2 linked regions of the Daphnia pulex genome follow. The main gene of each other region encodes a partner of the protein of the gene in region 2 in a complex. Links are inferred from orthologs where the notes say so. Each region holds a gene or a part of one and is shown on either strand. Other genes may lie near its edges.

Region 1 (3,681 bases), on a different chromosome or scaffold from region 2:
AATGACGACTGCGGTTGTTTTTGCAGGTGCTATAACCCTGATGAGACTTTTATATATTCTCGAGTCGAATAAATTCTGATGTGATGAGAAGCAGTCGCTCGAAAAATAAACATTAAGAAGTCCCTATTCTGTTTACTTTGTTCATTGTTTGCGTCATATATAGAGTGTCAAATAAATGGTGTCTACACCAAGTTAAGATTGGGCTAATTTACCTACACTCTACCCTCTACGTTTTGCATCAAATAGTTTGTTGCGGTTTGTTGGTTTTTCGCCCCTTCAAAAGGCAAAGTAGGCCTAATGCGATGCGAACGTTTCTTTTCCCGAATATCTAGTAAAATCGCGTAGAGAAAAAAATATTATAGCCTATTATTGCAGCATTTGAGTTGTAATATGCTTTTGTAGTACAGGGGACTTACTTACTGTTCCTGTCCCTCATGGTATAGGACCATGCTGTCTCTTTCCAGATTTCTAAAAAAGCGTCCTACACTACATAGTGAGGGTTTTGAACCCACACTTTATTAGTGGCGGGTTGCTTATTACCTTTGCACGATTATTTCCCTTCCAACTTGAATTTTCTACATTAACCTAAACCGCTACTCCCTTCGACTTGCCACTAGCCTAGAACTCCCTCACTAAATTTCATCTCTTTGTTTCATGCTGCTCTTTTCTTTATAAAATCAAGTGAAATTGCGCACCAACATATCAGGTTATTTCAATTACAAACTAGAAACAAAACAACTCCGCCGACCAACCTAACTCGGACCCATGAGAAAATGTGTTTCAAGTATACACCAAATTAGTATTTTTTTTTTTATCGGGATAAGAAATCAGGTCACATTTAATTTTAAAAAACTAAAAATTTTGTGATCGAACCAAGTCTTTGTTTCATTTAACTGTACGTCAATTAATAAACTTTAAAACGAACATTTCAGGCAAGTCCGAAACGTTCAGCACGTTTGCGCTTCTGTTCGTCAGAACTGCCGACCGCAGTGCTCGTAGTTCCGAATCTCTCTGCTCGCTTCTGTTTCTTCTCATCAACTTCGGAATTAGAATTAGAAACGACGCCAAAGCGAGCTTGCCTTTTCAGAAGTTTGTCATTATCAGGAACCTTAAATAAAAATTCACTACATGAAAACACGAAGAACGATGAGCTGATCAATCGAAAATACCTGAGGTTTTGATGTGTTTGATTCTGTGCTATTTGTACCGCCAAATCTTTCTGCTCGAACAGCTTTCTTCACAGAATCGGGAATAGGAACACCAAATTTCTGTGCTCTTAGTTTGGCTCTTTCTTCGGCAGATAAGGAACCAAGTTTAATCACCTTCTTTTCTTCCTTTGAGTCAGATTCATCACCTTTATTGGCATCATATTTAAGGTGGTCGTCATTTTCCTGTGAAACTGTGCCAGAATCTGATGGAGGAGTTACCACCTTTCTGTTCAAGATGATTTTTTTATGGGGAGAAACTATTTCATTCTTCGAGTCCTGAACAGTCCTGAAATATTATTCATTTCATCATTAATCTTGAGGCAATTATTTTCCAAACAAACAGAGTAACTAACTTTTCAACTGTAACTTTGGGGGCACTCAATGCAGTAGGTGTTAAAAGAACTGCATCATCTTCTTGGGCGATCAAATTTGCATTTCCTTCCTCTAAAATAGCTTCTTCATCCTATACCAAAAATAAAATTGCATAAGTTTATCACATTGTATAAAACCAATGTTCTTACTGCTAAAACTGCCTCCTCATCCAAAAGGTCATCATTGTCTAAGGCGCCATTATCTCCAGTATCGTCATCTTAACATCCACGGAAAAAAGCTTGAACATAAACATGGAAACAGTTTAATAATCAAAATGATAAAAGTTTACCTTGCACAGCATCTTGCAGTCTTTCCATCAATTCATTTTTAGTGCCAATGGTGCTGAGGCCTCGTGTTTTTAACTCTTTTTTAAGGTCCACAACCTAGCATGAAAACAACAGTCAAGATGAAATGCACACAGTAGGCCTATCACTAGTTCAAAAACATAATAGACATTTGATTTGACAAACTCAATCAGGATTCTAAGTTGGAAATATTGACAAGTTTCACTCAAATATAAAGTTAAGCGGGTTACTTTTAATTTAGAGATGTCCATGATTGTGATGATAATGATGACGTTTGTCTGTACCGGCGTCTCAAACTTTCAATGAATTACAATTGGAACGCGCAACGCGGTAACTTGAAAGTAATTCGACTTTTGAATGCCAGTGTATTGTTTCAGAGGAGAAATTGCGTATGCTTTTGCTGGCTTCTAAACTAGTGATCTCTATCGGGCGCATCCTGTACTAAAGTAGTGTCACCTATCGTCAATGCAAAAAGTTTGTCCGAGTCATGTTGCCATGTTAGTGTGTTACTAGCCAACAATGAGAAAGAAAACCCTCGAAAAAGTAATCAGCCACGTAGGATAACTCTGGTAGGATTTTGAAAAAAAATAGTGAGAAATTAATTTTAAGCGATGGGTTTCTCGGACAAAAAGGCTACGCATAAAACATTGCAACTACGTTATTTCTGTAATCGCAAATGATCAAACTCATTGTCAAAGTAATTTTTTTTTTTTAATTTAAAGAGCTTGATAAAAACTTCATAAAATATCTTGTGATAAACCAAGTAAAACTGATTGGCTTAACTAACTAGTGTGTGTATTGTAAATCAATGATTTTAAATTTCATCGTAACATCGTAGTGAATTTTGAATTTTTGATTCTTTTCCCGCTCAAAGAACAAGAAAGTGACAAAAAGTAACGTGTTTTAAGACAAGCAAACAGTTCAAGCTGCAATAGTTATATAATGAATGAGACAAATGCTCAAGCCGTGTATTTCGCTTTGACATGAAAATACGTGCGCGCAAAAAGCACTTTCACGACGACGCTCAGCTTCGGACAGTAGGCAATGTTTACGTAGCGAGCGACACATCTCAAAGGAAGAAAAAAACAATGGTCTTTTCGCGTCTTTTTCTTTCTTTTTTAACAAAAAAAAACAAAAAAACAAAAACAAACAACCAATTCGCAGAAACGTGGCTATATTCCGGCAAGGAGTAAAAGGTGGGTAAAAGGAGAACACCAATTGCTGTGGCAATATCCAACTTGTGCGAGGCAATCGATTTCTGTTTTTCTTTTTTCAAGGCACGCACAACTTAACTATATATATCATTTACTGCTGAGGACAATTATGGTTTTACACGTTTCCAATAAGGGATTGGGGGGGGGGGGTTAAACGGCACGACGGTAGTCGATTTGTCTGGTCCCGGGATACTGTTGTAATAAAGGATATACAGTGATGCCCAATGATTTTCTTATGTTTTTTCACTATTCTTGGGACCCAATTTTTAAGCCCATTCTGAAATGGCGTCAAATTTTCTCTTTTTAGCTTATCGGGAATTGTTTTTGTTTTTTCCCCGATAAATACACGTTACACGCAACACTACAGCGATCATCATTCATCAACTTGTAAGCGATTGGTATACAAGCACTTGAAAATACATACACGAATATATCAAATCAGAGAGGCGCGCGTGGCGGCCTATTTCTTTTTGGCAATTAATAATAACGAAACAAAACAGAGGAGAAAAAAAAGACACGTATTTTCAAAATAGATCTTTCGAGACGTTTACGTTTGAACTGATGAGAACTAGACAAAATAGA
Region 2 (4,603 bases):
TTTTTTCTTCGGATGTATTTCGAATTTTAGCAATTAGTAAAAAAAAAACTGGCAATTAATGGTGCAGAAAGAATCCAGATCCTGTGTCATATTTTGTTGGATATGCTCTATCATGGCCTTTTATCAATTGGGGAATCATTTTCTCGGCTGCAAATTCTGGTTTAGACTGCGACTGCCAACTTCCGCCTCCTTTCTTCATTAACTGACCATCGATTTCTGTAATCAAATCCAAATGCAGGCTCAATTTCTTCAATTGCACTGTCAGCAGATCAACTTTGTGCTGAGGAGGAAGTTCAGTACTGGGAACGTTAACCTCCGCTTCGATTCTCTATTTTTAAAAATTACGTAAAATATCACAAAACCGAAGACGAAAAGTTTTAGCTATAATACATACGCGTATAATTTCACTATTTTCTCTATTGTGCTTTCCATTCCAGTTAAGTTCAAGTGAACAAATTGGTGTAGAGTTCGGGTAGTCTACAGGAACCATGAACATCGCGAGTAGTTTTGCTGGAATTCAAATACAAAAAAGGTTCCAATAATAATTAAATTCATCATACAGGATCCTTAACAGAAATTAAATTTTAAAATATTTTACAACTATACCGGATTCTCTTTCAAGAGTTGCTTTGTAAAACGAAAGGCTTTTTGGATTTACTTCAAGGAAGTTCAACAGCCGTTCAAGGTTCTTTGACGTTACGAGGCATTCTTCATACGTAGAAGACGTCCATGAGACGAGTCGAGAATAGATTGTTGGTGGAAAAGTAGCATTTGAGTCTTGATTGAGATCAAGTTCACCCTTTTCTGTTTAATGTTAAAGAAACTATGCATATTTTAAAACTGTTTTATAACAAGTATGAAATAAGACTCACCAAGTAAGTGTAAAACCTTAACAAACTGGAAACGATAAGTAATCCTACTTTTTAGGGCAAGAATAACCTAAATACAAGTAAACACGGTTATTCTTGTTTTACTATGTTATTGTTGTTTAAAAAATTATAGAGACCGTTTCAACGAATTCCGTGTTGATGAAAGATTGAGGTGTCGATTTTACGATGCCGTTGAAATCTAACCCAGCTAAACGTTGGGCCCAAAGGTAAGGTTTTCCTTGTTCAGTTATTTTACCGTTGATCATAGACCTTGCTTGAAAACAATTGACCCAACTGGGCGATTCATCCCCATGGTCGTTTGGAAAAAGTCCGGAAAGGAGATTATCGATCATACAAATCTGACTAGTAAGAGAAAGACTTTTTTAAAAGACATTTCGACATATAGAAAGAAAGCAATAATATAATCTTACTTTACTCCATCGTCTTGCTGAACGGGCTTGCAGTCGACCGTGACGATATTTAATGTTGTTAAATACGTGAAGTTAAGGACAACGCGTTCAATCTTAAGTTGAATACGTAAAGGATGCCTAGTCAATTGCCAATCTGTTTTCATTTTATTTGAAGTCGCGGAGCGTTTGTTTGTTTCATATTCCGTCTCCATGTCAGATTCCGCTGAATCAACATCCTCGAGAATTTCGTCCAAACCAGTTTTATTCTTTGACCCAAAATTAATAGCATCTTCCATTCCACCTTCGATAGAAATTTGCAATGACGGATCTGCGGGTTAAAGTCATATTTATCGTAACGATTAAGAAAACTTACGAATTTAATAAAATTACCGCATGCTTCAATGAACGCTTTTATCTGACTGTACAAAATGTAAAGTGGATCCGGTAATAACACAGCCAACTCTTTCTGAAACTTGATTCGCTCTACAGGCAAATTAAGCTCTTCTTGTAAGGGTCGCGTGGACTTTCGAAACATAAATATTAAAATCAAATTCTTTTAGATTTTGTATCACTTAATTACCTCAAGTATGGAAGTAAGTCTGGGTAACAGGCTTTCAAGTTGTTTTTGTTTCTGACTGATTTCACTGGATGCCTTTTCTCGATTTTGTTCCAGACTACGGCACTGTTCCGAAAGACGTTTCCGTTGTTCAAATTCCCATTCCAACCGAGCCAAAGTCAATTTGTGTTGATTACTTTTGGTCAATTCCTAAATGTAAAGAAAACAAAATAAGAATACTTTTTGGTAGTGGTTGGTAAACAATAGGTAGATTTTCATACCATTTTAGAAATGCTACTTGGGGCCTCCTGATAAAACTCCTCAACAGGAACAAGTTCAATGTCCTCATCTTTAGACTTGAACTCCAAACACTTGTCCACTTCTTTCTTCAGATGAAAGACTTCATACAGCAGATTTTCTAGTTGTAAATGAAATGTATCCACACGCTGCTTGGCATCATGGGTTGTATCCCTTGCCTTTTTCAATCTAAGCTTGTCTATTCGATTTAACTTCTTCAATGTTACAAACAAAAGAGAAGCTTCTATTCTTTTTTCAATGATCTTTTTACTGGTTTCTTCATCGGTTTTTCCAGATGTTTTCAATTGTAAAATGTCTGTCATCAATCTTTTTAATTCACAACATGTTTCTTTGAATATTTTCAAGTCACTTTCCCCTGTCCGGGATTCAACTTCCTTGTCTTCAATGTCCATGAAATTCTAGAAAATCATGCAAATGAAAAGTTAAATTCAGCACTATATCATTTACCCAATAAAAAATCTAACCAAAGTTAAGAGAATTAAGTAACAAGTACCTTGCAAAATTCCTTCACTTTACTTGCTGCTGCCATAGATGAAACATCATTTTTGCTTTTTTTGGGATCTTGTTTAATAGATTCGGAGTCACTTCTTTTAGTTTTGGAAGGTTTAGACATTGTTAATACCGCTTCCAAGCTTGTTCCGTTTACCAGTTTACTATGTTAAATAAGTCTTGTCTACGTCTACTATATGCAAGGCCGACAAAACTGTATAACGTGTTGAATCTTTTTATTCTTAAACGGGTACACGTAGCGGTAATTTTAAGAACTAGTTCCGTTAAAATTAAAATTTTCTTTTAGCTTTATCAGGCTTTATCAAAGAAAATAGGAAAATAGCCCGAGTCCTGGAACCTTGCTTTAAATAAATTGAAATTTTAAACAATACTCTTAATCTTGAAAGGACTGCGCATTGTATCAATGATTTAGAAAGAGGACCTAACCGTTTAACATTACCTTTACATGAGTAAGGGAGTTTCCCGATAGCTTAAAAATATTCAACCACCAACATTTCATTTCTCTAACCATGAGTTGAGATATAGACATCACTAATTATCTCAAAGGGATCGTCAAGTATGCAATTTTCCTGTTATACATTTTATCCTTCCCATTTAAGGATTAATAATTGGTATTCAAGCAAAATGACACCTTATACCTATAAATCATGTTAAAACTACTGTGGGTTATGTTTGTGAATATTTTAAAAAGGTTTCAAACTTTTGCCTTTCTTATGTCTGACTTTTACGAAAGTTTTCCACCAAATAAGCTGTAAGAACTGAGGCAATTCGACGTACGTCTGACACATTATAGACAGGATAATCTTGTATTTTTGCCGTTTTTGGTTGAAATACAAAATACAATCCCGAGAACGGTTTACTTCTTCTTGCCACCCTTGGCAGCCTTGGCTTTGGCGGCTTTAGCCTTTGCCTCCTTGGCTGCTTCAGGATCTTCAGCCGCTTCCTTAGCTCGCTTAGCTCGGATACCTGCAAGGCGTGCTGTTGTTCGGGCCGTGCGGAGTACAGCATAAGGAGAGAATTTGCGATCGGCCGGAGTGATGGCGCGAGCCTTCTCCAATTTGTAAGACCTGGTGATGGGCATAACCTCAGTAGTCAACTGTTGGGCCAACTTGATTTCCTCAGGCTGAAATAAAACATAATGTTATTGTAAAGTGGTGGTACACAATCCTTGTCACAATTCTTACAGTAGCATCAGTCTTCTGGGGTTTCTTGGCATTGCGTGGGAAGAGGATCAACTTGCTCTTGTAGACCTTCAAGCGAGTGGCGTTCAACTGCAATGATTCCACAGACTTGTTACGACGACGGTGGTCAACAGCAATACCAATTGTTGGGGCGAAACGCTTAGGGATCTTGGCAGCCTAAAACAAAAAATTCAAATAAAAATGATCACATTAATATATAAAACTTTGGAGCATATGGCATAATAAAACATTTGCTACACTAAACCAAATGGATTATTTAACTCTTCGACAATGAAACCAGAGCAATTTGCAGTTTGATTTGAGTCGTGTCTGTCATAATTTCCACAATTCAAAACATGATACATTAATAGTAAATATGTTACCCTCAATTCCTCCAAACTGAATCCTTTTCCAGCACGAACACGAGTGTTGTACCGGAAAGTCGGGCACCTGACGATGGGCTTCAATGAAGTCGTTGGACGAGGAAACACACGACGAGCCTTGGCTACACGGTGTGCGTGCCTCCTCTGCTTGCGAGCTGGCTGTAAAGATGAAACACTACTGTAAAGCACACATTCAACACACATATTAAAAGAAATGTACCTGATTAAACCAAGTCTTGACATAACGCTGCCACTGTTTGTGGAAATGTCCATTCGGAATCATGTTGTTCCTTTTGGGCGCCATGGTGAAACTACAAAAGTAAAATTTCGATGGTGAGTTTTACAGATTCCACTAAAAAAGACTTGCTAAATCGTG

The links.
Region 1: THO complex subunit 5 homolog (region 2) and SAP domain-containing ribonucleoprotein-like share a complex: the UniProt entries of both Homo sapiens proteins name them as parts of the transcription/export (TREX) complex. The link is inferred for Daphnia pulex from reciprocal best matches to the Homo sapiens genes THOC5 and SARNP.

The regions. Positions count from the first base shown.
Region 1 is NC_060024.1:915,270-918,950, forward strand, and holds SAP domain-containing ribonucleoprotein-like, read right to left. Parts: upstream 2,274-3,681; 5' UTR 2,137-2,273; coding exon 2,116-2,136; intron 1,964-2,115; coding exon 1,870-1,963; intron 1,798-1,869; coding exon 1,730-1,797; intron 1,672-1,729; coding exon 1,562-1,671; intron 1,495-1,561; coding exon 1,170-1,494; intron 1,109-1,169; coding exon 929-1,108; 3' UTR 821-928; downstream 1-820. UniProt on the Homo sapiens protein: Binds both single-stranded and double-stranded DNA with higher affinity for the single-stranded form. Specifically binds to scaffold/matrix attachment region DNA. Also binds single-stranded RNA. Enhances RNA unwinding activity of DDX39A.
Region 2 is NC_060020.1:6,248,381-6,252,983, forward strand, and holds the start of THO complex subunit 5 homolog, read right to left. Parts: upstream 3,090-4,603; 5' UTR 2,767-3,089; coding exon 2,647-2,766; intron 2,552-2,646; coding exon 2,117-2,551; intron 2,046-2,116; coding exon 1,860-2,045; intron 1,803-1,859; coding exon 1,670-1,802; intron 1,608-1,669; coding exon 1,301-1,607; intron 1,233-1,300; coding exon 1,007-1,232; intron 940-1,006; coding exon 873-939; intron 805-872; coding exon 607-804; intron 511-606; coding exon 395-510; intron 329-394; coding exon 56-328; 3' UTR 1-55. Other genes in the region: 60S ribosomal protein L13-like, read right to left, coding at 3,520-3,786, 3,848-4,021, 4,228-4,386, 4,448-4,531. UniProt on the Homo sapiens protein: Component of the THO subcomplex of the TREX complex which is thought to couple mRNA transcription, processing and nuclear export, and which specifically associates with spliced mRNA and not with unspliced pre-mRNA.